4 linked regions of the Pelodiscus sinensis genome follow. The protein of the gene in region 1 interacts with the protein of each later gene in a pairwise test. Links are inferred from orthologs where the notes say so. Each region holds a gene or a part of one and is shown in the gene's direction. Other genes may lie near its edges.

What was found.
Region 2: the proteins of BANP (region 1) and ZMIZ2 interact in binary tests that used the Homo sapiens proteins (3 or more experiments, as listed by UniProt). The two-hybrid records come from large-scale screens. The link is inferred for Pelodiscus sinensis from reciprocal best matches to the Homo sapiens genes BANP and ZMIZ2.
Region 3: the proteins of BANP (region 1) and FAM117B interact in binary tests that used the Homo sapiens proteins (3 or more experiments, as listed by UniProt). The two-hybrid records come from large-scale screens. The link is inferred for Pelodiscus sinensis from reciprocal best matches to the Homo sapiens genes BANP and FAM117B.
Region 4: the proteins of BANP (region 1) and POGZ interact in binary tests that used the Homo sapiens proteins (3 or more experiments, as listed by UniProt). The two-hybrid records come from large-scale screens. The link is inferred for Pelodiscus sinensis from reciprocal best matches to the Homo sapiens genes BANP and POGZ.

What each region holds. Positions count from the first base shown.
Region 1 is NC_134722.1:5,025,782-5,033,760, reverse strand, and holds the start of BANP (protein BANP), read left to right. Parts: upstream 1-4,978; 5' UTR 4,979-5,139; intron 5,140-7,979. UniProt on the Homo sapiens protein: Controls V(D)J recombination during T-cell development by repressing T-cell receptor (TCR) beta enhancer function. Binds to scaffold/matrix attachment region beta (S/MARbeta), an ATC-rich DNA sequence located upstream of the TCR beta enhancer.
Region 2 is NC_134738.1:4,833,560-4,841,001, reverse strand, and holds the start of ZMIZ2 (zinc finger MIZ domain-containing protein 2), read left to right. Parts: upstream 1-4,436; 5' UTR 4,437-4,665; intron 4,666-7,442. UniProt on the Homo sapiens protein: Increases ligand-dependent transcriptional activity of AR and other nuclear hormone receptors.
Region 3 is NC_134717.1:55,989,634-55,996,741, reverse strand, and holds the start of FAM117B (protein FAM117B), read left to right. Parts: upstream 1-4,091; 5' UTR 4,092-4,135; coding exon 4,136-4,835; intron 4,836-7,108.
Region 4 is NC_134734.1:15,206,309-15,213,937, reverse strand, and holds the start of POGZ (pogo transposable element with ZNF domain), read left to right. Parts: upstream 1-4,622; 5' UTR 4,623-4,885; intron 4,886-7,629. UniProt on the Homo sapiens protein: Plays a role in mitotic cell cycle progression and is involved in kinetochore assembly and mitotic sister chromatid cohesion.

The sequences.
Region 1 (7,979 bases):
TCTTTTAACTGGCATTGTATGTCAATTCTATGTACTGCTATAGCACAATGTGTCTAGAGCCATGTGTATGCTTCTTCCAGTGTGTAACATTTATTGTCCAGAAACTTAATAAAGTTAGCTCAAACAATAATCTCGAAATATAGGTCACACTGATATAATCTTATCTGCAAATTACCTAATCACAGATTTTATGCATGGTAAAAGAAAACATCCTTAAAGAGCTACTGTAGCTTATGTTCTGTAGCTGCTCATATTATCTGTACATCTCCTCTTTTTTCCTCCTTTGTTCAGTTTTCATCTGCAAACACCAATGAGTTCAAATTGTGAATGCCTGTCACTTGTTTAAACTAAAGCCCTGGAAGAACTCATCTGTCTCTTTGGCAACATTTGTTCTCCTGATGCTAGTACAGTTGCAAAACTGTGTGCACAGAGAGTTAATTTTTTACCTCTGATGGTATGCTTGGCCTTGTGATTTTTCTAAGAGCAAGAAAGGGAAACTGACGAATGGGCTAAACATGGAGATCCATATGGGAGATGTGAGAGTAGCTATTTCTCCAGGAATTCTTTTCAGATGAAAGCTAAAACAAAGAGAAAACAAAAAAGATGTCTTCTGTGAGAAAATAATGTTAATAGCAATTTAGATAAAAGTTTGCATATATATATATATATTATACCATATATGCAATACAAAATGTGGGCCACAATTTGGATTTTTGAGTTAAAATAAAAAATCCCGAATTCTCATCTGTGTGGGAATATTAAAACATCTTCTGGTAGGACACGCTATATAAATAAAGAATGCCATTATTATCTGGAAAGTCTCACTCATTTTTCACTCCTGTTGAAGTTTATGGGAATTTGACCCAAGTTCATATATGAAAATCCAGATCAGAGGAGGTGGGTGGAGGCATGGAAGAAGTGGGAGGATAAAGTTACCTCTTCCACCTGTTATATCTGCCACCACTCCTTCCCATATCCACTGCAGGGATCCCTCTCTGGCTGTGTAAATACTATGGACATGGAGAAATGGGGATTGAGATGGCAAGAAGGATATAAAGACTGTCTTAATAAAAGCTTTATTTAAAAAAAAAAAAAGCAAATTGGCACTGATTATTGTAAAAATCTAAAATAATGCTCCCCAGTAAACTGAGCCAAAAACCGTTACTGGAGTTGATATACTTTTAGCTGGGCCTGTGCCTAGAAGAAGGTTATACCCACAAAAGCTCATGATTCCATATACATTTTTTGTTAGTCTCTAAGGTGCTGCTAGACTATTTGTTGTTTAAGTTTACCACCTAGTGGCCACATTTTGTTTTTAATAATAAGAGATCATAGATATTTCTTACAGGCCCAATCCACCGGACGACAGAGCCACAATCAGCCAAATGCAGCAAGGTATTTCAACTCATTTGCTAGCTTTAGAGCCAAATTCAACAATGACATAAACGGTGGTATAAATAGGTAGAAATATGGATAGTGGGGGAAAGTGCTGTAACTTGTATGGATTTGGGAGTCAGTGGCTGTGCAAAATGAGTGGAACCGATATGTCAAGGGAGGAGAAAAATAACTAAAAGGAATGAGACATCTAAGACATCTATTTCAGAATCTGGCTGTGAGCTTCAAGGCTCTTCTCATGCACCGCTGTTTTACATTAGGCATGTTTATGTGCTACACAGTTACTGGAGAAGAAGATGGTCTCTAAATGCAAAACATAGTCTCAGCCTTACACCCTGGTTCTAGGTCCTTCTCTTCAAGGCAGTGATCTTATCAATTCTTTACCTCAACTCACCACTAGACCTGTCACCTCAGGATCTGCTCCAATCACACTTTAGTAGTTGTGGTGCTGCTGCTTTTGGGGTAGTTAATGTTGCACGATGCCAGCGGCTGTCATCCCTGCTCATGGAAGCAGATCCGCTCAGATCCCCCTGTTTATTTGCTTCTTCTTTTCCCATGATTATGGTGCTCCATGATCCCCGCACTCCCCATGATACCTCCCACATAGACTGACCAGCTGCCCAATTTTTAAAGGGGCAGTCCCATATTTAAGCCTTCCTGCAGGTGTCCCCACTTTTTCTTAAAAATGAGCAAATTGTCCTATATTTTCTTTCTCTTCCTCCCATCAGTACCGGTGGGTCCTACTCAGTGTTTTCTCTAAGTTGTGAGGCTGTATCGCTTCACAGGTGATTAATCAGCCCTGCCGAATCAAAGGCTTAGGGCTCCATGCACAGAGCTGACTGACTGGGCGGGACTGATTAATCAGCTGTGAAGCTTAGAGGGCACAACTGGCTCTACTACTGGCCAGTATCCTTGCTCACTAGCCATCCAACCACCAGTGGTGAGTGAGGAGGCGAGGGGATGGGACGGGGTCCAGTGGCTGACGACGGAGTTGAGTGTGTGAGGCTCGTGGTCAGCTAAAGCTGCAGCATGTGTGGCTAGTTGTTCTTCCTACTTGTCCATCCATGGAGTCCCTTCTGCATGCCAACTCCTGGCCAGCAGGCTGCCCCGCCCTATTGCCAGCCAGCTCTGGCTGCTCGCTCCAGTGGCTGAGGAACATGGGCAGGTAGTGGCTAGTTACGTGCCACCTCTGCTGCCCACCCAATGGCCATTTACATGCTTCCCATCTCACTGTCCTCTCCCTGCTGTGCCTGTTCACTCCCCCCCCCCCCCCCGCCCGCATTGTTGTTGCTACATCTCCCTCCTGGTGAGGCACATCCCACTCCCGGCACTGTGCAGAAAACCAGCCACTGCCTGGTCAGATCATTCATCTTACCAATAGCCTGGCTTCCCTCACTGCCTCCGGCTGGTCTTGCACCCAGGGAAAGGTCAAGATCCTCTGGCCTAAGGCACTGCCCAGGAAGAGCCGAGACCTTCATGCGCCAAAGCCCTTCACACCGCCGGCATGAGGAAGCTTCTCTGCTCCCTGGATAAGCTCTGGAGTGGCAGGGAGGAAGCTGCTTCCAGCTTGTTTGTTCCTCATCCCTGCAGGTCCCCAAGCAGGGTGCTTAGCAGCCTCTTCACATGCCCTAAGTCCTGTCCCTAGGGAGTGCTGGGCTGCTTTGTCCCCTGGGCACTCTCCCCTGCTGAGCCCCCTCTCTGGCCAGGTTGGCTGATGCCCCTGCAGCCAGGTTTCCTGGATCCTGGTGCGCAAGGCATCCTTAAGGCTTAACCCCTTCCTGTCTGTGCTGTCACCAGGGACAGGAGGCAACTGGGGGCTGTGTCCGTGACCAGCAGCAGCTTGGAGGTGTCAGTTGCCTTTCTACATGGTGCTGGCAGGAAGGGACAAGCTGCTTCTAACCATAGGGGAGAGGGTGGGAGGGAAGAAATGACCACTGGAAAAACATGAGCCAGGGCATCCCCACTCTCTCTCCTCTTCAACTGGAAGCAGCTCCCCTCCCTTCCCTCCTGCACAGTGACGAAAGGCTGCTCTTTGCCATGTTCTGGTATGAACTCCAACAGAAATCTGGGGAGGGGACCTGTGACCCTGCATGCCTCCAAATGTTGTCCTGAGAAGGTGTACCAGGAGAGATGGATCTGTCCCAGGAGGCCTAGCCAGGCGTGAAGGGTAGAGAGCACTGGATAGGGAGGGTTGGGTCAGGTCTGTCAGTTACCCCCATCTCTGTGTGAGAGGAGTGTACAGGAATGTGTGCATGTCAACTTTCCTTGTGCAAACCCTGAAAATAAGAAAGTAAAAAGATTCTAGCTATGTGGTATTTCATTTTAACAGGGTCTCAGTCAACCTGAGGTTAATTTGAACATTTGTACTGCATGGTTCTGATTGATTGTCATTGAGCTCTCTTGAATATGAGTAATGTTACCAGGTGTTCCATACTCAGCTTAGGGAAATATGGTCACCCTACTCTGACAGCTATTCTTGCCTGTTGCTGTCTCTAATATGCAGAATCCATATGGATTGGGAGCAGGCCTGCTGAAGTGCTATACCCTTCTACCGGGCTACTGCTGCTCAGTGACTCCGGGATCCTCTTGTGGAAGCAGCATATTGTCCCAGTTTTCTATGTCACCATGGCATACTGAGTGCTGCTAACCCCAGATCTCTTATTACCATCTAACAACACTGAGACCACTTGCAGAAAGAATAACCAGTCTGCTCTACAGCCTTTGCTAAAAAGAAGCTAACTTTTAGCTCATGCAGTAGATGCACTGAGCTCCAGAGGTGTCAGGTTCAATTCCATCTGTAGACAAACGAGGTCTGTATGTGTCACAAAGACCGGGTTTTGCAAAACCCCATGGCTGTGTCTAGATTTTGCAGAAAAACTTGCCAGCTGTCTACACTGGCCGCTTGGATTTCTGGAAAAGCACTGTCGATCTCATATAAGATCGTCAGTGCTTTTCCGGAAATATTATGCTGCTCCTGTTTGGGCAAAAGTCTTTTTCCAAAAGACTTTTGCGCAAAAAGGCCAGTGTAAACAGCACAGTACTATTTTCCGCAAAAAAGCCCCGATTGTGAAAATGGCAATCAGGGCTTTTTTGTGGAAAACCGCGTCTAGATTGGCCATGGACGCTTTTCTGCAAAAAGTGCTGTTGTGGAAAAGCATCCTGCCAATCTAGACGTGCTTTTCCAAAAATACTTTTAACGGAAAACTTTTCCGTTAAAAGCATTTCCGGGAAATCATGCCAGTGTAGACATAGCCCATGATACCAGATCCAAACCAGAAAAATGGGTATGGTCCGTTTCCAGCAACAGCCAGACACACAAGCCCGCCTGTGACTCAGTGTGGTGGTGAGAGGAGGGGGTGTAATTACCAAGGGTGACACCACACTGGCATAAAATGGGGCTAGAAAACGCAGGGCCTTTTTGGACTACAACTCCCAGCAGGCACGGGGGCACGCTACGGTACTACACATCCCAGCCTGCCTCTTGGGAGCACAGGCCTCGCGCACGGGCGTCTGGGAGTTGTAGTCAACATCGGCCTTGCGGCGGTTAAGGGCGGTTTGCGGGGAGGCTTCTCTAGGCGGCTGCGCGAGCCTCTCGAGGAGGGCGGTGGCGGGGCGCGAGGGAAGGAGCGGGAGCGGCGCGGCGGCGCAGCGCCTGCGCAGTGAGGACGCGGAGATCTCTCGCGAGGAAGGACGCCATTATCGCAGCCGCTCGACAAACACCACGAGAATTCGTCACCACACACGGTAACCGCGGCTCCCCGCGGCCGGCTGGCTGGGGCCGGCCTCTCTGGGGCCTGAGGGCCGGGGCGCGGCACGGCTGCCCCGCTCCTCACCGCCTTGGCCTAGCAACCGGGCCGCGAGCGAGAGGCGCAGGGAGGGGCCCAGCCGGGGGGGGCTCTCCCCCAGCTGGGGGCGCTCTCCCCCCGCCCCTCCTGCCTGTGGGCTCTGGTGACTCTCCACTCCCCCCCCCTCGCCCCGGCGGACAGGCCCCCGCCCCGTGGGGCTGCACTGTGGTGGGGTCTCTGCGGGGGGGGCTTCCCCCCCCCCGTGTGGGGCTCTGGCGGGGGGTGTCTCTGCGTTCCCCCCCCGCCGCACTGTGGGGGAGGGGCTGTTCGCTGCCCAACCCAGTGCTGTCCCACTATAGTCCTAGGAGGGGTGGGGCTCAGACCCCCCCCCCAGTGGTTGCAGGGCTAGCGTTAAGGGGAGATTGCGCTACTTTATTCCTTCCCCCACGGGTAGCACTACCCGCGGGGGGGGGGCTGCCCCACCATAGTCCTCAGTCCCACTATGTCCATGGCTGCAAGGCTAGCATGGGGGGCACCCTACATTTATTCTCCCATGGGTATCACAATCTTGAGGGAGCCGCTCTGTGGTTGCGATACTCTTATCAAAAGGGCTGGTGAGGCAGATGTAATTCCTTTCCCCTCCACCCCAGCATAGCACATACACTACATGGTGAGTTTTTTGGGAAGGGACACTTTTTTTTTCCTCCAGGGGCACCTTCTACGCTCAAAATGGATTGTAAATAAAAATTGAGAGGCTGTTCGCCCCCCTTTTCTTCGCCCCAAGTGTCACTTGTGTACTTTTGTAAATGGAAAGAGGTTGGGGCTTAGACGTACTGACAGCTGATTGCACAAATGATATAGTGGATCTTAGAGGGGGTAGCTGTATTAGTTTGTAACTTGAAAAGCAAGTTGTCCTGTGGTATGTTAGAGACTAACAAAACCATATAGGCTCATGAGCTCTTGTGGGAAAAGCGGCGAGGAGTCCTGTGGCACCTTATAGACTAACTGAAGTGTTGGAGCATAAGCTTTGTGGGCAAAGACCCACTTCGTCAGATGCATGTCTTGTGGGAAAGGCTCACTTCATCAGATGAGTTGGAGTGGAAATAACAGAAACAGATACATAACGAAGTACATGCCAATTTTTTTCATGCCATTATTTGCAAGTGCAATTCTTTTGAATTGATACTTTCTGAACCAGTGTGCACTTAGCCATCAGATGTTTTGTCCTCTTGTCTTTGGAATATTAACATGTTTTTAAAGATTTTTTTCCCTCCTTATATGGTGAACAGTACTAAACTTATAACCAAATTTTACTAGGGGGCTTTATAATTTATATAGTCATTTATTTTTAGTATTCCCAAGAGAAGAATTTTGTTCTTTTAAAAGAAGCACCTATTTAAATGGGCATTTGGAAACTGAAAAAAAAACAACCCTTCGTTTTCTGAAAAAGTTTTGCCTGCTATTTTTACTGATAATTCCTAGTAATACAAGGGAAAGCTTGAGCATTTTGTTTGCTACTTCTCCAGTTAACTTTGTTTAACCTTCCTTTCTGTATAGTTAGTTTCAGTTTAAATACAGTTTCTTTTTTGTAGTTTTTATAGAGAAACACTTTAAATGTGTCTGTAAAACCATCAAAATGTGCAGGGGAAGAATGGTACTTGAAACTATTTTTAAGTCTTGAACACTGCAACTTGAGTTTCCCTTTATTTTCTTTGAATAAAACATTAATTCATTTAAATAGATGTTAAATGAATGTTGTATAAAATCTATCAATAGTTCTAATTGATCATGAAACCCTGTAGTCAACTTCAGTAAGTACATCACTCTGTATTTTAACTTACTAATTCTATTTGCAATAATACATTCAATGATGTCAGATAGGAAAAACTCGATAAATTGTTAGAGCACTTAAAACATTGAATTTAGTTTTCATAGATGTAAACATCCTCTCTTTCAGAAAGTCTTTTGCACATTTTGTGTTTTGATTTGTCCCAAAATCTTATTTATGGTAACTTGTAGGTTAACATCTTTGAGATCCTGTCACATTTAATTCATCAAGTGGCACCAGCCAGGCCTAAAATTGTAAGGCTCTTGAAGAGATTAGTTATGTTAATGCCTAATAGTATCACGCTATTCCACTGGACATTCTGCTGTCTGATATTATATATGATTAGGATTCAACTAGTGTAATTTCTTCTAAACAATTTGTTTGAAATAGTCCAGTACTTAGGTTCCCTGGACAAAAATAAGACTTTTCTGTGGCACAAAAGATGTTTTTACTGATTTCCACTAATTAGCTAAGGAAAGATTAAATGTATAAGAAGAGTATTCAAGGTTGTCCTGATTAAGATCATGATTCTACAATGAGTGCTGTGTAGCTTCAGTCTACATTAACCAAATTGCAATGATTTACATAGGCAAGTTGTAGGTTTTTTCTACCCGTTTTATGGTCACATGAAAACAAATGAGATGAATTCACAGAACGAGTGTATTCTCATCTCTTTATTACAACTTCCAGACTCTAATATTTTTTACCGAGATATTGTTTAAGTTGGAATTTTGGTGGTTCACATAAGAAATGTATAGAAGGATACTTCCCAGATTAAAGACAACCATTTGTTTTTAATATTGGGTGGAGATGGGAATTTGTCTGCACACACAGAAGCACACACAAAAGTAACACTACAAAAACATTCTGCAAGTTTTTGGAATATAGTGAATCTACCAGGCCAACCAATGCAGTATTGTCACAGGAATATATAGAAACCTACCAGCCAAATATTTTTTTGTTGTTTAAAG
Region 2 (7,442 bases), on another chromosome or scaffold:
CAGTAGCACCTACAGCTGGATTTCAGCTTTCATGCAGGCAAAGCCCTTCCTAGCTGGGAAGGAGCAACGTTCCAGCCAGTGTGACACAGTAACTCCAACTGCCGTGTCTGTTTGACAGGGCTGTTGATTCTGAAACCTACTGATGGTAGCGGAAAACTTCACTACTACAGGAGTTTTATTCCACTTAGTGGAATCCATAGGGAAGGTCTCTGTTTTAAAGGTGAAATGGAGTGAATCTCAAATACATGATTGTATTTCTTAGGGCCAGAATCTTGGAAGGAGTGGAAGAAATGGAGGCGAGGGGGAGGTGAGGGTCCTTCCTATGACTGGGGACTCTAGAACTTAGCTAGACTCTGCCTAGGTCTGCTGGAAACTTGGAGGCTACGTTTACACTGCAGGCTTCTTGCACAAGAACTGTTTTGCATGAAGAGTTCTTGTGCAAAAGTTCTTGCACAAGAGAACGTCCACACTGCCATGTGCTTTTGTGCAAGAGATGTGCTTTTGCACCAGAGTGTCCATGGCAGTGTGGATGCTCTCTTGCACAAGAAAGCTCTGATGGCCATTTTAGCCATAGGGATTTCTTGCACAAGAAATTCATGTTGCCTGCCTACACTGGCCTTTTGTGGAAGAGCTCTTGTGCAAGAGGGCTTATTCCTCACGGAGGGAGGAATAACTCTTCTGGAAGAAGCCCTGTTTTGCGACGCTGGCTGTAAATTGTACTTGCGCAAGAACACGTGTGCAGTGTAGACACCCAGCAAGTTTTTGCACAAGAACAGCTGTTCTTGCATAAAAAGCCTGCTGTGTAGACGTAGCCAGAAAGGGTGCAGAGAAGCGTTACAAACGTTATTGAAGGGCTGGGTCTGTCTGGCCTGTGACATGATTGTGGTGTGAGTATTGTTATTATTCAGACTTGGCACAGGAGTGGGCAAGATATGGCCCATGGGCCAAACTGTTTGATCTGGCCCATGGCCCGCCCTGCCACGCCCCCATCCCCAGGCCAATTGAGACCCAGAGGGAACCGCCCCTTCCATCCGAGGCCTCGCCCTTCCACGTGACGCCCCGCCCCTTCCGGGGTCAGCCCACCACCACTACCAAAATTGGTGAAGTGGCTCCCCTCCAGAAATGATTGCTCGCCCCTGCCCTCGCACCGAGGCGCCCCTGTCCTGGACCAGGTGCTGTGCACACACCCCACCCTCGGAGGGAGAAAACACTGGGTGCAGAAGGGCTGTTTAAACCAGAGAGCGGGGCCCGCAATGCCCTTAGCAATGAAGCACAGATTTGTACCTGGGCGGGTGACTAGTATCGACTGCCACAAACTCCTCATGAAGGCGTGAAATTCCTGGCCTGATCTATGACCCCTCCTGGCCTTAAAATCTGTGTGTGACCTTAGGCAGCACAGCCTGGGTTAGGCAGTTTGGGGGTGAAGAACCCCCCGGTCCATCCGCATCCAGCAGACTTGGCGACCAGAAATCCCCTTTGGCTGCACCCCAAACTGACCCCCTTCTCTTCTCTCCCAGGAGGGACCCAGAAAATTGCTGCCCTTTCCCTGCCCCTGTGTGCCACACATCTCAAAGTTGGGCAGTGTCATTTAGCCCCACATTACAGATGGGGAAACTGAGGCAAGGCACAGCAGCAAGGCCTGCTTTTAAGTTGAGTAGGAGGCCGAGGAAGAGCTGATCCGGGAGCCCGGGCTGCTAACCCTGGGCTGCAAGCACTGAAACGGCCCTGGAAGATCTTGGCCAGACAGGTAGGATTGTAATGAAAACCGAGATTAGCATGGATGAAACAAAATAACTTTTATTGGTAGCTCACCATGCACTCGCTAGGCTCGGACCCTGCAATTCCCCCGGGAGGGCTGGAGCTGGGACCCGAGGAGCGGAAGGACTGTGTGCACTGATGGTAACGGGCAGAGTTGGGTCAATTTGCTTTAAAATCCCCCACTGAATCCACACAGAAAGTTCCCCAGTGGTGCGCAGCCTCTTACTGTAGGATACGAGCACCGCACAGCTTTTTAACAGGTTTATCCTCATAACCTCCCTGGGCACAGCTAGTAGCCCTGTTGTGCTGTTGGGGCCAGGGAGACCAAGGCTCAGATCCTAAAAGAGACTCAGCCTCTTGACTTCCATGGCATGCTGGGTTAAGTGATATGCCCAAGGTTGCACAGGAAGCCGGTGGCAGAGCAAGATAAACTCCAGGCCTCCAAAGTCACAGGTTAGGCCTCACCATCACTGGTCATCCTTGGGCCGGGAATAGCCTGCTGATTTCCAGAGCCCCTTTATATCTCCGCAGCGTGGGGCACTGGCTCCAGATGTGCCTGGACACCTACCAGGCCTGGCTGTCCAAAGGGCTAGGGCTACATTCCTCCCCCAGCCAAAGGGGGCTGCAGGCTCCTAGCAGATCACATTCCCTGCCCCCACATCTGGAGCGCTCGGCCTAGGTGAGTGTCCGCTCCCGAGCCAACAGGCAGCAGCGCTGTCCCCTGGGAACAGGTGTGGCTGCTAACCCCCAGGAGTCAAGGAAGGGAGTGAGAAAGAGAAGGGGAGGAACAAACGGAAAAGGCAGGGAGAGGAAGTATAAAGGTGGGACTGGAGAGGCTGATATCATCGTCCTGCCAAGCCACATGCCTGCATTTACCCAGGGACTCAATCCCCGTTCACTCTGAACCCTACTGGCAAACCACATGGAAGTGCTGTGCACTGTCCCACGGCTGCTCAGCCAAGGCCCGCTCTGAGAGCCCCACTGGCGCATGGCTGGCTCTCCGGCACCGTTCCCTTCGCCCTGTTACAACTCACACGGAAGATGCCCCTGCACGGGGGGAGGCTCAGGCGCTGGCACACAGAGGGCACCGAAATCTTACCCCAACCTGCATTCCACGCTTGAGCAGCACGGAGGAGGGGGCATGTTCCCACCTCTTTGGCCGCATGGCTGAAAATACGATGGCGATGAAACAAACCAGACTGGTCCCAGGAGACCCCCAACTCGTGTCCTGGGGAAAGCCAGACTCAGGAAGTGTCAGGAAGGAACAGGAACTGGTTTAAAAACGGAGGGAAAATGGCCCCCTTTGGCCTGGCCGCGCAGGGGGAGGGTCCCCAGCAGAGCTGCCGTAGGCCCCAGGGGGACTGTGGCCCAGTCGCATGCAAACTTGCCGGGGTTCCAGGCTCCTTGGAAGTCTCCTCCGAAGGCACCTGCTCCTCCCCCCGCTCCGTCCAACATGCCTCTGATCAGCAGGGGGGCCGGGCCGTGGGGGCGCGCACACTGAGACCACGCTGCAATAGTAGCGCACGGCGGGAGCTGGGCTCGGCCAACGTGGGGTGTTTCGGGGTCAGGTGGGGGGTGCCGGGTTCCTAACACTCCTCCAGAGCTGATGTATAAAAGCTTTTCCCCTGGGGACCATGTCCAGCTGGGGGAGGGGGGGGGGGGCTTGGCAGATTGGTGGGGCAGTGTCCAGTGCGGGGCTGCTGGCCGGGGTGTTTTGCCTGCATGGCGCAAGGGGCCCTGGTGGGGAACGGAGTCGGGGAAGGCACGTCCGGGCTGGCGGGGATATTCTCTTGGCTGCCACCAGGACCCGAGCCTGGGCACCCTGGAGCCAAAAGGGCCAAGGCCAGGCCCTCCACGCTGGTTGGGTTCATACGCCCCTCCGGAGCTTTCTAGCGGGTGGCCAGGGAGCAGGTGTGAAACATCAGGTGGGGGGAATAGCCTCGGATGTGTGTGTCCCCCCCCACGTCTCTCTAGGACACTGCGCCCCCAGCGGTGGGAGGCAGATGTGCCCCCCCCCCCGGCGTCTCCGGGACACTGCGCCCCCTCCCCGGCAGGTCGCGGTGCCGGGATGGTGGGGGACAGAGCGGCCTGCCCCCCTGGTGTCTCCGGGACACTGCGCCCCCTCCCCGGCAGGTCGCGGTGCCGGGATGGTGGGGGACAGAGCGGCCTGCCCCCCTGGTGTCTCCGGGACACTGCGCCCCCTCCCCGGCAGGTCGCGGTGCCGGGATGGTGGGGGACAGAGCGGCCTGCCCCCCTGGTGTCTCCGGGACACTGCGCCCCCTCCCCGGCAGGTCGCGGTGCCGGGTGGGCGGCGGGGAGCCGGGCGCACAAGCGGGCCAGGCGGGATGATCCTGCGCCCACGTGCTGAGCCCCACGGCAGCGCCCTCCCCACAGGGGCGCCCCTGCCCAGCGGGCACGGCCAGTGGGGGGCGGGGTCCCCCCTTTCCCTGCGCCTGGAAGCCCCGCGCCGCGCGCCCAGCCTGGCCAGGGAGCGGAGCCCTTTGTCTGCCTTTCCCACCCCGGGCGTGCGTGCGCGGGCGCGGGCGGGGGCGGTGGTGGGGGGGGGGGGGGAGGCTGCAGCTCCCCCCCCCCCGCCTCCGGATAGGAGCTCCATTGCTCTGGCCTGGCGGGGGGGGGCGGGCCATGAATATTGATGAGGCCGCCGGGGCGCTATTGTGCAATTGGCGCGGGGCGGGCGGCAGGATGGAGGTGGGGAGCTGCGCGCAGCGGCTCACTCGCCCCGCGGTGGCTCAGGCGGCGGCGGCAGGGCGCGGAGGGGCCGCGGAGCCCGGGCTTTGTTAGCTGCACCCCCGCCATGGAGCCGCGCCCGCAGCCCCAGTGACCCCCCGGCTGCGCCGCGCCCCGAGCCAGGCGAGGACGGGAAGGGCCGGTCGGTCCCCTTGGAAGGTAGGTGCGCGCGGGGGGGCAGGGCGCTCCGCGGCGGGGGGGCCCTCGGGCGGGGGGGGCGCCCCCCGGGGCCGGCGCGTCGGGCGGGGGGGTCTGGCTCGCGCCGCCGCTTTGTGCCCGGGGGCGCTGCCGGGGTTGGGGCTTTGTGCGCCGGGGCGCGACGCTGCTGCCCGCGCCGGACTTCGGGTGCGGGTTGCCCGGGAAAGGGGGTTTCCATGGCAACAGCGCGGATGCCCTGGGCGGGGCGGGTCGGTGCGGGGCGGGGGGAGCGGGGTCGCCCCGTTTCCCCCCCCCCCCCCCGGGCGCGGCGGGGCGCGGGGGCTGGCGCTGCCCCGGGTGCCGGGAATTCACGCGCGGGGCTGCGTGGGGGCGGGCTGGGGGGTTTCCAGCCCGGGCTGCTGCCGGGGGGGCTTTCCCGTGCGGGCCCGGCCGGCTGCGAGTGCGGGGGGGTCTGGAGCGGCGCTCGGGCTGTTCCAGCCGGTTTCAGGCCCTGGACAGTGTCTCCGCGGGGGCAGGGCGAGCCTGGCCTCTGGGCCCGGGCCTTTCTGCCTGGCTGGCGGGGGGGGGGCCGGAGCCCTCCTAGGACTGGCCGCTGCAGATCCAGCCCTGTGAGCCGGGCGGGGGGCGGGGGCTGTGCCACGCTGTGACCCCCCCCCCCCCCGCTGCTGGCTTGGCTGGCCGGGGGGGCCCGCTGGGGTGTCTTACCTTGACTGGCGGCTGCGAGCGCGCAGGCCGGGAGCCGCCGGGCCCCCCCGTGTTCGCGGACAGGCGATCCACGTGCACCGCAGCTCCCTGCCCGGTGGTGTCGTGCTGCCACTGCCTAAAACTGGCCACGACTCGGAAGTGCTGTGGGCAGCAGCCCCCGGTTGTCAGCCGCTCGCTGGGGAGGCTTTGGTGGCTGCAGCCGGCGCTGGGCTGGCTTCGGTGCAGTGTGTTTTCCAGCAGGGAGCCAGGCCAGGAGGTGGGTGGGGGGCTCCGGGGTGGGGCCAGCTGGTTCTGAGCATCTGGGGAGCTGGAAGGGCTGAAGTTTGGTATCCGGCCTCCCCTGGTGTGCCCAGAGCAGGGCCATTCCTTGTCGCCCACTGGGACCCCCTGGCCAGGCCCCCTGTCCCTCTGCCCGGTTTGTTAGGACCAGCCCTAAATCCCTCCCTCCCTCGTCCTCCTGCGGACTTGCCCTCTGCACGTGGCCTGTCTGGAGTCTCCCGCCTCACTGCCCATTCCTGTCACTTTGACGCCAGCCCGGGGCGCGGCAGCGTGACCTTGTGGAAGGCTGGTTGGTTTGCACTGGGATGGGGAGGGGCTGCTGTGACTCGGCTCCCCAGTTTCCGAAGGCCTGGCCGTGCTGGCCCACGGAGACGTGGGGCAGGGCGAGTTCGTGCCCTGCTGCTGTGAATGGGCTCCCGTTCCGGGGACTCTGGACGCTGCCCCGGGACTAGCTGCTTTGGACACGCTGGTGCTGGAAGCCAGAGGTGCTGTGGGGGCGGGGCTCAGCACCTCCCAGTGCCGGGGAGAACATCCCCTCCCTGTTTCGAGGGACTCCTGTGGCTTCCCTCTTGTCCCGGGGGGGCTTTCCATCCCCAGCCTGGACTCGGCAGCGCCGGCCACTCGTGTCGGCTTCAGGGCCCCCAGAAATGCCCTGGATGCCTGGTGGCTGCAGGAAGGCGGATGTGGCCCCTGGGGTGCACTCGTGAGGGGCAAAGCCAGGAGGCTGGGGAGCTCCGGGGAGGAGAGCTCACGCCAGGCCCCCCAGCCTTGTGCTTTCTTCGGAGGCCCCGACCCCCGGGGGGCGGGCGATGCAAACCCCCCTCGGATGAAACTCTGCCCGCCGTCCCACTGTTGCCAGGGCAGCAGCTGGCTCTGTCTCCGCCCTCCCCCGCTGGGTGCGGTGCCCGCTGTCCTGGCAGGTTCTCCGCTGGCGTGTCGGCTCAGGGCGCCTTGGAAATAGTTCACTGGGTAACTGGGTTAAGCAGAGGCTCCTCCACCCACCCACCCACTTACATAACGCTGGGCGGGCCGGGCGAGTGGCCTGGAAGGTCAGGTTGTGTTGCCTCCATGGCGACCCGGTTGGCAGGGGGGAAGCAGCGTGTGGGTTCAGCCAAGGGCCAGTGGGGGGGCAGAGGACTGTGTGACGCACCCACCCAGCTGTGGCTGAGCCCACCTGTTGTGAATCTCACTCGGGGCCCTGGCGAGCCAGGGAACCTGCAGCCACCTCCGAGGAGACGGGCGGTCCCGGGGCTCGGAGGGCAGGCGGGCAGCGGCACCTGGCCCCGGGGGGGCAAGCGCAGGACAGGCCCAGACCTTCGCTGAGCCGCACCTGAGAGCAGCCTGGGCCAGGCCCCGAGCTGCTTAGCAGCTGGATTCCCGGGCAGTCCGGCTCCCACGGTCCATCAGCCTGGGGCTTGTTTCGCTGCCCTTTGCCAGAGACCCCCAGCGCAGGGGGCCGGCTGGGCAGCCAGCGAGCGGCAGAGCTCCCAAGGCAGAGGGGCTGGATGAGCCCTGGGACCGTAGCGCTGCCATTAGCAGGGGGAGGGAAGGTGGCCCCGGGGCCCGTCCCCAGGGCACTGCTGGATTGCCCTGGCTGGAGACCGGCGAAGCAACCACTGAGCGAGAACTGAAAAGTTACCAGCCGCTGAGCGGGCGGGACTGGCTGGAACCTCTGAGCACGGACCCAGAGCCCGGCTCTTGAGCGGTTAGTCGGGGGGCTCACGGTTTGGCTTCTGCAGTCCACTGACCCCCTGGGCTGGGCGTCGGGGGCCTGCACTTCACTGGCTGTCAAG
Region 3 (7,108 bases), on another chromosome or scaffold:
GGGGTGTTTCGGCCCCGGGGCAGGCGTGCATGGGGAGGGGTTCGCCCCTGAGGGCTTCCCTGCTGGGGGGGGGGGGGGTCAGACCCGGCAGAGGCGCTCAACGGGGCTTCCTTCCGTAGTGGGGGGTGGGAGGGAGGAGGGTCGTCCCCGGAGGGAGCGTGGGATGGAGCCTTCCGTCCGTGGCTGGTGTAGGGGACTCCCTGCCCCCGAACCTTGTTCTCTATCCCCCGCCCTAAGCCTGTCCCCTGCCCTCCTGCCCCCGTTCTCTCTCCCCTGCCCCTCCTTTGCGGAAATCTGCCCCCCTGGCACCCTGCCCACCCTGCAGAAACCAGTTCCCTTCGGCAGCCTGCTCCCCTCTGCAGAAACCTGTCCCCCCGCAGCACCCTGTCCCCTGCTTCAGAAACCTGTCCCTCACTGGCACCTTGTCCCCTGTCCCCTGCCTCCACTGGCACCCTGTTCCCTGCCCCCAGAACCTACTAGCACCCCTCCCCAGTACTGTGTCCCCTGCTCCCGAATGAGTTTTCTATGTGTCAGTGACACCTGACTCAAGGCAGGTTCCCTGCCATTCTCATAAAGACAATGCAGAAACTTTTTGTGTTTGACATAGTATTTTATTTAAAAATGAAGCCTGGCCAACAAACCCCCAATTGGGGCCGAGTCCCCATCTGGGCACAACCACTCCTGCATTCCCCCTTCCCCAGACCCTAGAGCTGAGCCTTCCAGTGAACCCCCTGCCCTGAGCCCCTCACATACTCCAACCCAAATTCCTGCACCCTTGCATCCACAAGCCTGGGGCTTGCTTAGTACCCCAACACTGCCCCCTCCCCGAGCCAGTGTCCCCTTCTCCACCTCCTCCTGCATCCAGATTTCCTCCTAGAGCTTGCACCTCCATCCCTTCCCACACCCAAATCCCTCATTCCCACCCCAGAGACTCAACCCAGCGAGGGTCCGGCTAGACTGCAGGAGTTTTTCAGGATTCTGGAGATATCCCAGAAAAACTCTTCTTCATCCAGGGTTGCGTTTGTTCTTCCACTTTTTTAGCGGAAGAGCAAACATGCTCTTTCGGTCACCCCTATATTCCTCTTTCCACAAGGAATAAGGGGGCTTCCAAAAGAAGGGTTTTTTTCTGACATTTGGTCCAGTTTAGACAGGCCAAATGTTGGAAAAACCTCTTCCTACATAAGAATTTTTTTTAAAAAAGCAGCAGTATAAGAATTGGGGATAGCAAGTGATGGAGAGGAGGAGAATAGAGAGGGCGGGACTTCAAGGAAGGGGCAAGGTGGTAGATCTTGGCTTGGTCTGTCATTTAAAAAGTGATCTTGGGTGTAAAAAGGTGTGCTAGACTGTTGCACGGGGAAAGAGCCAGGATCTTTGGTAGCCAGCTCCTAAATAGGAATGTAAAATCCGGTTTAAATGGTCAACCGCTCAAACATTACGTTTAACTGGGTCATGGGTAGGGATATAATAGTGTAGTTGATTAACCAATTAACCTATAAGCAGCTTATAGGTTAATGCTATAGACTACATGCATTTCTCTCCCTCTTCACCCCTCCCCTCCCACCTTTGCCAGTAAATTTTTTTTAGCAGACTGGCCAGCAGCCCATCTCAGTCCTGGCTTGTGACCGGTCTGGGACCTACCCCTGCTGTGACTCTGTATTTAAAGTGAATTAGGAGCTGAGTGGCTAGGCAGCCCAGCTCAGCTTTGGCTTATACTGGGTCTGGGAGCTCAGACTCCTCCCCCCCCAAGATGGGCTGCTGCCACCCCATGCTACTGCTTTTTTATCAGAGGCAGCAACACAGGGCGACAGGCAGCCGGTCTGCGAGGGGAGGAAGTATTTAAACTGGCTGCTCTCATGGACCAGCTCCTGCCAGGCACCCTGCACTGCTGCCTCTAATATAGAGGCAGCAACAAGGAAAGGCAGCGGGCTCCTCAGAGTGGGGCCATAGCACACTAGCTGCTGGACCCACCCCTGGGGACCATACACTAGTCATAGGCATGTGCATGGGGTATGCAGTGTGTGCCCAGGCACACCCTAATGTCTCGGGCCGGCTAGCCCAAGCCATTTTTGCGCCCTGGGCCCCACCCGGCCCGGCAGCACCGCATGGCCCAGCAGCACAACACGGCACCCCTGAGGCGCCCGGGAACACCCCCGCCCAGCATGGCAGCACAGTGCGGTGCCCTTGAGGCACCTGGAAGCAGCCCCGCCCGGCCTGGCAGCACCATACAGTGCCCCGGGGGTGCCCCTCCCTGGCCATGCAGCTTGGGATGGCTCTGACTCCAGCACTGCAAGCTGTAAGGCAGAAGCTGAAGGTAAGGGGCGGGAGGAGTATAAGAGGAAGGAGTGGGAGAGGAAGGGGTTTTGCAGTGGGGTAGAGTGGAGGAAGAAGAAAGGGGAAGGAGTGGAAGGGGCTTGTACTGAGGGGGAGGAGAGAGGGGGAAGAAAGGGGAAGGCACCAAAGGGGCAAGGTAGAGGAGACACAAATGCTAGGGGGGAAGTGGAGACAATGAGGAAAAGGGCAGGAGGGGAGGTGTCAGTGGGAGGGGGACAGGGTGATGCTGGAAGAGGAGAGGGTAAGGGCATTGGGGATTGGAGGGGGAGGTGCTGGGAGAAGGCTAGAAAGAAGGGGTGGGCATGAGGAAGGTGGGGTTGGAGCAAGTCATGTGTGAGGGCACAGGGGCATGAGGAGAACGGGAGCAGAGGGAGGTGAGGGGATGGGCATCAGGGAAAAAAGGGCAAAGGAGGCAGGGCAGTGAGGGAAGGGGGAGGCACCAGGAGGGTGCAGGGCTAAGGGAAGGTGCAGGTGTCAGTGGATTCTGGGGGTGAAGCAGAAGGGCAGACACCTGCAGGGGAGGAACCAGCACCAGAGGAGAGAGGCAGGGCAGGTGTGTAGAGGGAGGTGTTAGATGAGGGGATGAGGAGGGGTAGCTCACATGATCAGAGTGGGGCTACTGGAGGAGTGGGCACAGGGGGGAGAGAAGGGCTGGTGGAGGGGGGGGCAGGTCTCAGGAAGGCTGAGGGCAGTGAGAAGGGCAGGAGTCAGGACAGCAGAGGAGGATGAGGGGTGGGGAGCAGCAGGCACCAGGGGAGTTGATGGAGCAATGGGAAGAGACATGGAAGCAGAGGGGAAAGGTAGCTATTAATAACTTGGGTGCCACAATGGCACATCCAAAAGAAGCCACATGAACTCAGTACTGGTGCACAACACAAAATTCATTCTGCTCATGGGAGGAAACTCTTAGAGGGAACACTTCCTCCCCCCCAGCCTCTCCACTCCAATTAATGTCACACACATTGGATTAATGCAATTGCAGGATAGTTCCATGGGGGAGGGGGGCGATTGGTGGTGGCCAAACTAATCCCTATTGGTAGGAGGATGGTGGGAAAAGTCCTTGGGTCAGGGGTCACATAACACTTTTTACTTTTGGTCATGTGCCCATCTTGCCCAGAGAGGGTTAACTTTCCAGGGGCGTGGCTAATGGGGGCCAGGGGCGTGGTTAACAGGGGTCAGAGAGTGTGGCTAATGGAGGGAGGGGTCAAAGTGCATTTTAAAAAAATTCTCTGGGTGCATGCTTATGACACTAGTCAACTAACCAGTAAGAATTCATGAGATTACTTGACTATCAATTAACTGTTTTTTAACATCCCTAGTCACAGGTGGGGGACATCATATCCCGAATTCCTACAGGCCAATCCCGTATCTCCGAGCTCTGAACTAGCTGGGTGTAGGGACCCCAGCTGTGAAATGTGACACTGGTGCAGGAGCTGTGGGACGGGGCAGGTGAGTGTGCAAAGGCCAGGCTCGGCGACACTGTTCATCTGTATCACTCCCCTCGGCTGGGCAGCTGCTGCCGCGTCTCCTGCATGAGGCCGAGGCCGAGGCGCGGGGCCCGGCCAGGGTCGCGCGGACTGGCTGCAACTCGCGGCGCTACGGACCGGTCCCCGCTCCGAGCTGGAGCGCGTGCAGGGACATGGGCACGCGCACGCAGGACAGTGCCTCTGGAAGAGCCAATAGCCGGCCACTCAGGAGCGCGCCCTGCAGCCAATCAGGACGCTGTAGCGGCGCGAGCGCGGCTGAGGCGTGTCCAATGGCAGGCGACGGAGGGCGGAGCAGGGCGTTCGGGGCACTATTGTTGATGAAGCGCACGGAGCAGGCGGGCCGGCTAGTGGCTGTGCGAGGGGCCTTCCGCAGGGGGAGGGGAGCGCGAGGTGTTTGCACCCCCCTCGAGGAGCCGTCCGCGGGCTGCCCAGCCGCCGGGCACGCAATGTCCCACCCGCGCATGAGGCGCAATGGCTCCCCCACCCCTGCTACTGCCTTGGGGGGCGGCGGGGCGGCTGGCGGGGGAGCGAGCAGTCGCCTGCAGCCCATGCGGGCCACGGTGCCCTTCCAGCTCAAGCAGCAGCAGCAGCAGCAGCAATATGGCAGCCCCACGAGGAGCGGCGGCGGCGCAGCCAGCGCCTCAGGCGGGAGTCTCTCTCGCGCGACGCCTGCCTCGCGCAGCACCAGCCCCACGCGCGCAGCGCCCCCCAACGGCGGCAGCAGCAGCGCGCGAGCCGGCCCCGCGGTGGCCACGCAGACGCCGGGGGGAGGGGGCAGCAGCGGCTCAACCGCCTCTGCCTCGTCGCGTGGCAGCCCTCCGCGCCTTCAGCAACTGCCGCCCCCGCCGCCGCCGCCGCCGCCCCCCCCGCCGCCTAGCTCCGCGCTCTCCCCCGGGCCGCCCTTGCCGGAGGGGGCCGCCTTGGCTGGCAGGGTCCGGCATCGCCAGCGGCGGCGCTCGCCGGAGCAGGGCAGGAGCTCCCCGGAGAGGAAAAGCCCCAGCTCCCCCGTCTGTAGAGGTGAGTGCGCGCGGGGGTCGCTGGAGACCCGAGCGTGGGGCGCTGGGGCATTGCCTCGCTGGCCCTGCGCTCAGCCGCGGGCGGCGGCACGATGCGGTGTGGATGGGAGAGGCGGCCGGGGAGTCGGGCTGGTGCACGGCGGTGGCGGCGTGGGCAGTGGGGACGCGGGTTGTGGCGGTGCAAAGCCTGCCTAGCTAAGACAGGCAGGAGACGCGGCCCCGGCGGGGGGGACACGACCGCTTCCCTCGCGTGGCTGGGCTGAGGCGGCCCTGCGTCCGAGGCGAGGGGGAAGTTTCTGTCAGAGAATGTTTACACTGCAATTGGAAACCTGCAGCTGGCTCATGCCGAGCAACTCAGGGCTTGGGCCAAGGGCTTGTTTATTATGGTGCAGTCATTTGGGGTTGGGCTGGCGCTTGGGACCCCTCATGGGAATCCGCTGGTATGAGCCAGCCATAGATTTTATAATTGCTGTATAGACATATCCTTGCAGTAATGCATGTTCTAACCCAACTGCTGAGCATGGCACTTGCTGCAGTGGGAACTGTTGGTTAGTATGGGCTTGACAGGACACTGTGTTCTTGCCTGGTTCCTCCACTCACATAAGTGTCTTGTAAACAAGTCAGAGTGATGTCTGTCTGTCTAATTTGGGAATAATGATTTTTGCTTTGGTGACAGAGGGGGACATGATTCACTTTTTGAACACCAATTTACGTACATAAAGTGCTATGTCAGAACAAGTATTTCTGGAGGGCAAAGATGATTTGGGAGGGTGAGGAAAGGTTAGGGATGCGCTCAGACTTGTCTGACTTCTAATACTCTTAGCATTTACACATGAGAGCAAAAAACATAGAGGGAGAAGAAACTGAGAAAAAATGTAGTACTTCTGTAGAGCTCTGGTTCTCAGCTAGAGAGGTCAAGGATCCCCTCTGGATCCCTGAACAGATTTCAGGGGGTTCACCAAGGACTGAGCTTGAGCCCTGCCACCTCCTCTTCTTGATTCCCCTCTGGGCTGCGCAGCTTTTCTGGGTTAAGGGGATGCAACCAAAAAAGGCAGCATCACTGCAGAGCTCCACCTGTAATAAGAAGGGATAGCTTCTTGGACATTGACTCCATGAGCAGGCATCAGCTAGCTGAAGAGAGTAGGGATGTTAAATTTAAATTAATTGGTTAATTGAATGGTCAATGCAATTTGCATCCACTATTTGATTAGTCAGTAAAGGTACCTCAGCCTTTGAAGTGTAGCACAGTCCCAGGGCTGCTGCTACACTTCAAAGACAAAAGCACTGTGGGGAGCATGGGGCTAGCAGGGAACTCAAGCAGCCCCCTGCTGGCCCTGTGTTACCAGCGGCATTTCTAAGCGGCAGCGCCGCATGTAACCTTGGCTGCACACGGTGTTTCAAAGCAGCAGCACCACGTGGAGCCCAGGGTTTGGTCACAGGCTCTATGCAGTGCTGCTGCTTTGAGGCACTCTCTACTGTTTCCCCCTCCCCGGACCCTTACTGCCTCTTTCTGCTAGTTGCCTAGTGTGTTGACTATCCAATAAGCAAATGCTAGTCATTCACATCCCTAGAGGAGAGATACCACTGTTCTGCCCTGCTACATCAGCACTTCAGGGAGCAGGGCCAAAAGGAAGGTAGAAATCTGGAGGTGGGGGACACATGACTCCATGTGCCTCCCACTACCCTATCTATCGCTTCTGGGAGGGGATCTGCAGGTTTATTTAAGTTTACAGGTATCTGTCTTAAAAAAAGGTTTTGAACCACTGCTGTAGACTGCTAATCTCAGTTCAGTACCAGGAGCTGTGTGATACACTAGAACCCTGGGGTCCTGCGGACCAAAACTAGGAGTTCCGCGAGGAGCCAGCACTCTCCCGCCCGCTCTGAAAAAGAGAGAGAGAGTCAGCTAGCCAGCAGAGGCATGGGCGGCGAGTTGTGTGGGCTCGTGGTGCCCATGCTCCATCAATATTTGGAGCTGGAGCGGGTCCTGACCCCACCTCCCTCCGCGCATCCTCCCACCCCGGCCCCAGAGCATCTCTCCCCCGTCCTTGTCCTGGTCCTGTCCCTGCCGTGCGCATCCTTCTCTGAGCTCCCCCTTGCTGGCTGCTGCTGCCTTGCACAGCATGCTCAAACCAGTGGGTGGGGAGACGCCCGGATGTGATGTAACGTCACGGCCTGGGATTTTAAACCTGCTCGGTGCTGTGTTGTGCCACATGGCTGAGTTGTAGGTTCGGAGTCCAGGGACAGAGCACAGACTCCAGCCCCGCAAAGTGAAAG
Region 4 (7,629 bases), on another chromosome or scaffold:
AGCAAATCCTGATGTGTTCAATAAATTTGTTGAATCCAAATAACAAAATCATAATAATCCCACGTGTCAAATTCAGATCTGTGGACCTTTTTACTGATCCTTCCAGTCAGCCCTAGACTATATGTTGTGGAAAAAAATTGTCAACTGATGTAGCAAAGCTGTCTGTTGTTCCATTTCAAGCTATACTACACACTTACAATGACTTTTTCAGTGGTTAGGAAACCACATGCTGAAACCTTTTAAGTTCTTGCCTTGACACCAACCAAACTGCAGGTGGTTCCAATTTTAGACTCATGGCAAAAACCCGACATGGCAGGCATCCAGGAAAACTGGCAGACTGCAGAAGCTAAACACAATGCTCCAATTTACTATCTTTGGAACAGCTAGTTTGATGTATTAATTAATCTCTGCTGTGTCACTCATACTTTTGCTAAACCATAATTTAAGGACTAGAGTACATTAGACAAATATGTCAAGTTTAGTTTGGGGTGTCTATCTCAACCTGCTCGATTGTATTAAAAGGCATTACAATGCACCCATGCTAGCAATGTCATAGTAAGGTCAAGGTTACTTGACACACCTGGACCTTGCTTTCACACATCTTTCTATGAAGACCAACTCTAAGAAAGGTGCTACTGAACTACTTTTTTTTTATAGGTTACAGACTAACTAGGCTACCCTTCTGTGACTTCTAAGAGAAATAGTTAATTTTTTTCTTAAGAAATTGATACATTTAATAGTAAGTCTACTGGGTCATTTTATTTTTTAGTAGGTCCTAAATCCAAAATCGACACTATGCCTAAATTAACAGTATAAACAACGAGAAGACCTGTGGTACCTTACAGACTAACAGATTTATTGGAGCATAATTTTCATGGGCAAAGACCCACTTCGTCAGATGCGTGAATTCAACAAAATAAGGCATCTGACGAAGTGGGTCTTTGCTCATGAAAGCTTATGCTCCAATAAATTTGTTAGTCTATAAGGTGCCACAGGACTTCTCGTTGTTTGTGCAGATTCAGACTAACACGGCTACCCCTCTGATATAAATTAACAGTGTTTGTGTGCTATTTGTTCTGTGCTGAATAATCAGGAGTCATCAGTTGTATGTTATAACCCCTACACAGATAATAGTTGAAAAAGATTCTCCCTCATTCTAAGCGACAGATGTTTGAGCTTTTGGAGCATGAAAATCTGAATCCTAACTCTACTATCATGGTGAATTTCTGAGCAGCCTACTGTGCAGCACAGAGGCAAACAGGAAATCTTAGATTTGATGCATTACCTAAAGTGGCATTGGCTTCCCTTTTGTTTCACGTATACCCATCATACAGTTTTAAACAACTTGCCAGTAATGAGGTGGTTTAATACAATTAAATCCTCTGTTTCTTTTTTGTCCAGATTTTTAGGCTGATCTTTAATTTGATATTTTAATTGTATACTTTGGTTTAAGAGAGAGGTCATAGTGAATCCTACTGTTTTCTATTCTAAGAAATATTGTAAATGCAATAGACAAATCAATTCTGCTGGTGTGATGTTGATTTTTAAGTAGTTACCACTTATTGTTATTTGTCATTTTTAATTCTGTTTTAATAATATCTGAATTCCATGTTGATCCATTTTTATTAACATTTTCATTTCTAAGTGTAGACTAGCAATGATAATAATTAACTTAAAGGAAGTATTTTTAATTTTTGATTCCTAAATATTTCACTCTTCATGCAGCTAGTTCCAGGAAATGTTCATGGAAAAAGCAAATGAAAATTGCTGGCCTTTCATGAAATGATTCTTTTCTACATCACATAACTTAGTGGGGGGAAGGACCATGACTGGCATTTCTTGGTGCTACTGCAGCACAAATAAACAAACAAATGCACATTACTACTATTGTTGACACCAATGGAAATACCCCAGCAGAAATTTGGAACTTTAAATTGCAGAGAAGTGATACACAGGTTATATGCAAACACTTCCTATCAATAAGTGGTTGATTAATCTGATGCATAGTGTGAGCTGGTAAAAATGACTGGTAATTCATTGTGCTTTTACAGAGGATGAACATACATGTTTAATAAACTCCAGGATAATAAATAACATGCTAGCAACAGGGTTAATACCTCTTGGCCCATTTGGGCAGACTATTATTCAACAACTTCACAGGAGTATTGTGAGAAAACTTAAGATAATGTTTTTAACATTCATTGAAGATGTGAATAGCTATTTATTAATAGTGATTAACAAATATATAAATGAACTCTTTACTATTATACAAAATAATTATTATGTTAATAATGCGTTATTCTTCAGTATTAATACATGGAAAACAATGACCTGTTTAATATATAATTAAGAAAAATGCATATGATTTGATTACTGTTACATCTATTATCAATTAAGCATACTGTCATTCATTTTGTAACTGTGTGCGCTTATTAAATTACTGATGATTTTTAAATGTATCTATTAATTATAAATGTGATTATGATTATTAAGGATTTAAAACATTTTATGTCTCTATGAGAATTTTAGCTACTGATTAAGTCTGCTGGAAATCAAAAGTCTATGGTGCCTATCTAGTAAGATTCTTAAGAAAGTGCCTAATTTTAATGTCTGAGCTGTCTCAATAAGTATTTTGGGATTAATACTCAAATATAGGCATGTGCTTAAGATTCCTGCTCAAAAGGGTTTGTATATCCACTTAGGCAGCATCTACAGATTTCCTATACACTTCCTCATCCACATGTCAATGTGCCTGAGTTCTGTCCTGCAACAATTCCCCATGGAGGATAGCAAAGGAGTTCAATTTCCATTGTCCATTTATTCCTTGGTCTCTGCTCAAACTGCCAGTGAGGAAAGAAATTAGTGCCAAATACTGATGGAGTTATGGTGTTTATGGGGAGTATACAAGACCATATTTTTAACTACACCTCCTATCACGGAGTCCCCAAAATAGCTATTGATAATGACTTTTTATCTTGATTGACTAAACGTGGTTCAGATTCTGGCCATGTCACGAATCACCAAAAGGGGTTACTTGCTACAAGTGTACCTTGAAGTTGCAGACACATTGCTAACCACAAAAAACTTGTACCCTCTGGAGGCTCCAGAGTCTAATCCCAACCACATCATTAGCCATCAAAGAACCTTTACCTGTTTTGGGTGATAGGTTTGAATCCTGTGGCTACACCAGTAATGTAGGTGGGAGGAGGATAAAAGTTGCCAGTGGCAGGTTTGAATCCCAACCATGTTACAAATAACAAATTATTATTATAACATTGTATCTTGCAGATGGGGCGTTCTAGTGCCAGCCACATTGCAAACCACCCAAAAGCCATTAACTACTGCAGGTGGTGGGCTTGGTTCCAGATTTACCCATTTTGCTTACCAACTCTGCAGGTGGTGGGTTTGAAACCTAACCGTATTATTAACTATACCAAAGCCAGTATTCACTGCAGGTTATCTATTTGAAACCTAGCCATGTCACTAATAATGCCAAAGCTGATACCTATCATAGCAACTGGGTTTGAGACCTATCCATATAATGAACTATGTTGCAGATGGGTTTGGGACTTTGTCACACTGCTAATGATTCCAAAACCTATGCCCACTGAAACTGGAAACTGTGATACCTAGTCATACCGGTAACCATGCCAAAGTCAATACCTGTTGCAGATGGTGGGTTTGAGACTTAGCCATATATAATTAACCATGCCAAATCCAATAACGTATACAGATGGTAGGTTGGAGACTCAGCCATATCATTAACTATGCCAAGTCAATAACTGGTGTAGGTGGTGGGTTCAAATTCAGCCATATTATTAACCATGCTAAAGCCAATAACTAGTGCAGGGAATGGGTTTGAGACCTAGTCACGCTGCTAGCCATGCCGAGCCAATAACTGGTGCAGATGGTAGAGCTGAAACTCAGCCATATTATTAACCATGCCAAAGCCAGTAACTAGGGTTGCCAGGTGTCCGGTTTTGAATCGGAAAGTTCAGTATTTGAGCTTTCTGTCTGGGAAACAAATTGAAAAAATATAAATGAGAAAATATAAATGTCCGGTATTTTCTAAATAAGATGTAATGTAGACTGTGATGTCATCTCAAGTGTGTCCGCTATTTTTGTTTAAACCATCTGGCAACCCTACCAGTAACTGGTGCAGGTGATGGGTTTGAGACCCAGCCATGTTGCTAGGCACGCCAAAGCCAATACTCACTGCAGATGACGGGTTCAAGTCCTGACTCCAAATGCCCTTTGTCACCTGTAGGAAAAGTTAGGATACACTGGAAACTGGCTTGGACTATTGACTATTTGGCCTCCATGAAGTAGTCCAAGCCTGGCAGACCTGCTCGCCATCAGGCCCTTCAAAGGCGGCGTTGGCTACCCCTTGGGTCCCTCCCTCCCAATTCTCCCTATTCTCAGCTATTTCTGGACATGTGGGAGTGGGGTCAACCTAAGAAAAAAATCCCCTTCTGTAACCAGCCTCCCTCCCAGAGAATCCCCCCCAAAATTGTGCCTCAGACAAACTTCCCCATGACAAGGTAGGCTGCGCTTGGCTCCCAGTGATGTCACCCCAGTCAACCAATCAGAGGACAGCGTTGGAGCTGAGGAGGAAATGACGTCACCGTATCCCTCCGCCGGCCCGGTCTCCTTTTTGTGTGTGTGTGTGTGTGTCTGTTGGTTCTTTCTGTGTGTATCAACCTGCAGCTTTTTTTGGGGGGAAGGAGGGGCAAAAATACTGGGGGGGGAGCTCATGCAACCTACCCTCCCCTCCCGGCCATTTCTCCCTGTAAGAGGTTGTGTGGGGTGCGTATCACTTTAAGAGCGTGTGCGAGCGAGCCAAGCTCGTCTGAGGAGGCGGCGGCGGCGGGAGACGGAGAGAAAGGTGAGTTGGCGCGAGTCCGTTATGTGGAGGTGGGGGAGGCGGACGCTGCAGAATCAACCGGGGGGGGGGGCGATACGAAGGGGCGGGAGGAAGAGGTTCGTGGCGCGCGCGCACGACAAGAATGCGGGTGGCGGTGGCCGTTGGAACCGGTTCGAACCGCCCGGGTCTGGGAGCGGGTGGGGGTTGGGGGGGGGCAGCGCGCGCCGTACACAAAGCGGCCGCCAGACGCGCCGAGCGGGGAGGGAGGAGGGAGCGCGAGCTCCGGTGTGGGAGGGAGGGATCGGGGTTGCTGAGGGGAGGGGGGAGGAGCTGTTCCCGCTGGGCGGCGGAATATCTGCTCGCTCGCTCGCCCGCCTTCGCTGACTGGGGAGGCGGAGTGATCCGCATACCCCCTCCTCTCGCTGAGGGGGAGGAGTGAGGCGGCTTTGGCTGCTCCCTCCGCTTCACCTCCCTCCCTCGACTGGAGACGAACATAACGGGGTTAAACCCTGCACAGAGCAACCCCTGAGCTGTCGCAAAGTGCCTCCCACGCTACCCTCCTGCTGGGTGCCCGGCCCTGCGGGGAGCAGGATCGCATTTTTTCTGTCTCCTTGCTCCCACCCCTTTCCAAGGGCTGCTGCTGGGTGGGCGGCCATGTTGGGCACAGGGATTATTTTCTCTACCTTTCTTCCAAAGCAGCCACAGTAAATGGAAACTAGCCTGTTTTTACTCCTGTGGGAAAGGTGTTATCTCCATCCTCTTTCATGAAAATGAACGCGAGGGGGAGTCCACCTCATTGCCCATCTGAGAGTGAGGGGGGCTTTTGGCCTTCCTGCTGCTCCCTCCCCCCCGACCTCCACAGTGAGCCCCATTTTTTGCCTACACACCCCAATGATCCCTTTGGGCTGCCTGCTGCTCTCCTCAGAGAAAGGAGGAGTTGATTGGCATGGCTGTCACTCCCAGAGGGTACTGCCTTAATGGGGGAGGGGGGAGTTGCCCTTGGCATACTTGCTGCTCCTAGGGCCGGATTAAGGGGGGGGAGTTAGCTGGGCAGTTGCCCGGGGCACCTGATGGCAGCTGTAAGGGGTGCTGTGTGCGTGGCGCCCCTTAGAGCTGCCATCAGACGCCACATGCCCGGGGCTGTGGGCCACACCGCCCCTTAGAGCTGCAATCAGGCGCTGCACACCCGATTGCAGCTGTACGATGCGCCATGCGCCCGGGGGCAGAGTCACACATGCATTGCATGCCCGCTGCCTGGGGCGCAGAAATGGCTCAAGCTGGCCCTGGCTGCTCCCCAGAGTGGGAGGGAGTTTCCTTAGCGTGCCAGCAGCTTCTGTCTATGAGGTGAGTGTGACTTCCCTGTGCCTGACATCTCAGTGAACCTGGAGGTCCCCAGAACGTGCTTGCCATTCCTCCCAGTGCAAGGTGAAGCCATGGCTTCCCCGCTGCTTGGAGGGAGCGACTCCCCTTTTGCTTGCCTACTATTTTCCCCCTTTCAGAGTGGATGTCTGAGAAACATTGGACACCTGATATTAGGGCACTTTTTAACTTGCCCTCTGTTTACTCTGTTTTGCTGGGTTCTAGCATGAAGAATATGTGGGGATTAGGTACAGACATGAACATCCCATGTGCACCAACACCAAGCTCTCTGCTTTATGAACTTGGCAGCAGTTGCTATCACCAGTCTTCATCAAGTTAATTTTTCTCACAGGCCTGCTGCTCCTTTTGGGGGACATCCTGCAGGCATTTGAAACTAATGGCCCTTCTTCATTTCAAATCCTGCTATCCACTGTCTTTGTTTTTCCCCATATATACTTGCATGTGTGTATGTATGGATGCATTGTTGGTATATATGAGCATCACAAATGCTCAGACTCTGGGTCCATATAACTAGACCCCTGAATCCACAAAGAGCTTTGTGGGGAAGGCAGGCTCCTCCTGCACAGTCATTTGCAAGATCAGTGCCAAAAGTGATGAGTATGTTACAAGAACTTGAAGCTCATGGGCAGGCCCAGTCTCCCAGGAAGATTCTCCCATACCCCGGATCTCTTCTATGAAATCCCAATATTATAATGCTAGTCTAGGTGCACATGTATAACAGAAAGCAAGTTAAACACGTTTTTTTCATTTGCAGCTCACAATGTAAGAGCAGATAATTTAACATGCAGTAATACATTTTAATTAATAGGTATTATGCACTGAAAAATCTTTAATAAAACATGTAGCAACCCAAAGTGATAACATTTGTAGACATTTTAATATACTCGCTAAAGCAGGGGTAGAGAACCTCAGGCGCAGGGGCAGGATGCAGCCCTGGCCCGTCTGGATCCAGCCCCTGGGGTTCAGGGCTCCTCTCAGCATTGGGGAGCCCATGCTGGTGCTTCAGTTCCCTTGCAATCCCCCCACAGGGCTGGAGCACATAAACTCTACTAGCTTGGGCCCCTCTAACCTCTGGGGTGCAAGGGGAATGTGAGGAGCTTCCTCATCAGTCATGTTTTTTTTCTTTGCTTCTCACTTATGTGTGGCCCCCGAATGATTTTTCTGTGGGTTAGCGGCCCCTGACCCAAAAAAGGTTTCCCGCCCTTGCTTTAAAGTAATCCTGATAGCCAGTGAACTGAAATGAACCACCTCAGCCAATGAAAAATAAATTTGCCTTGCTCTAGACCAGAGGTGGGCAAGAGAGCCTCTGTGGGCCAGATCTGACCTGCAGATGCCCTGCCTCTCCTCCGCCCCCATGCCAATCGGCCTCCCCTGCCAGGGGTTGA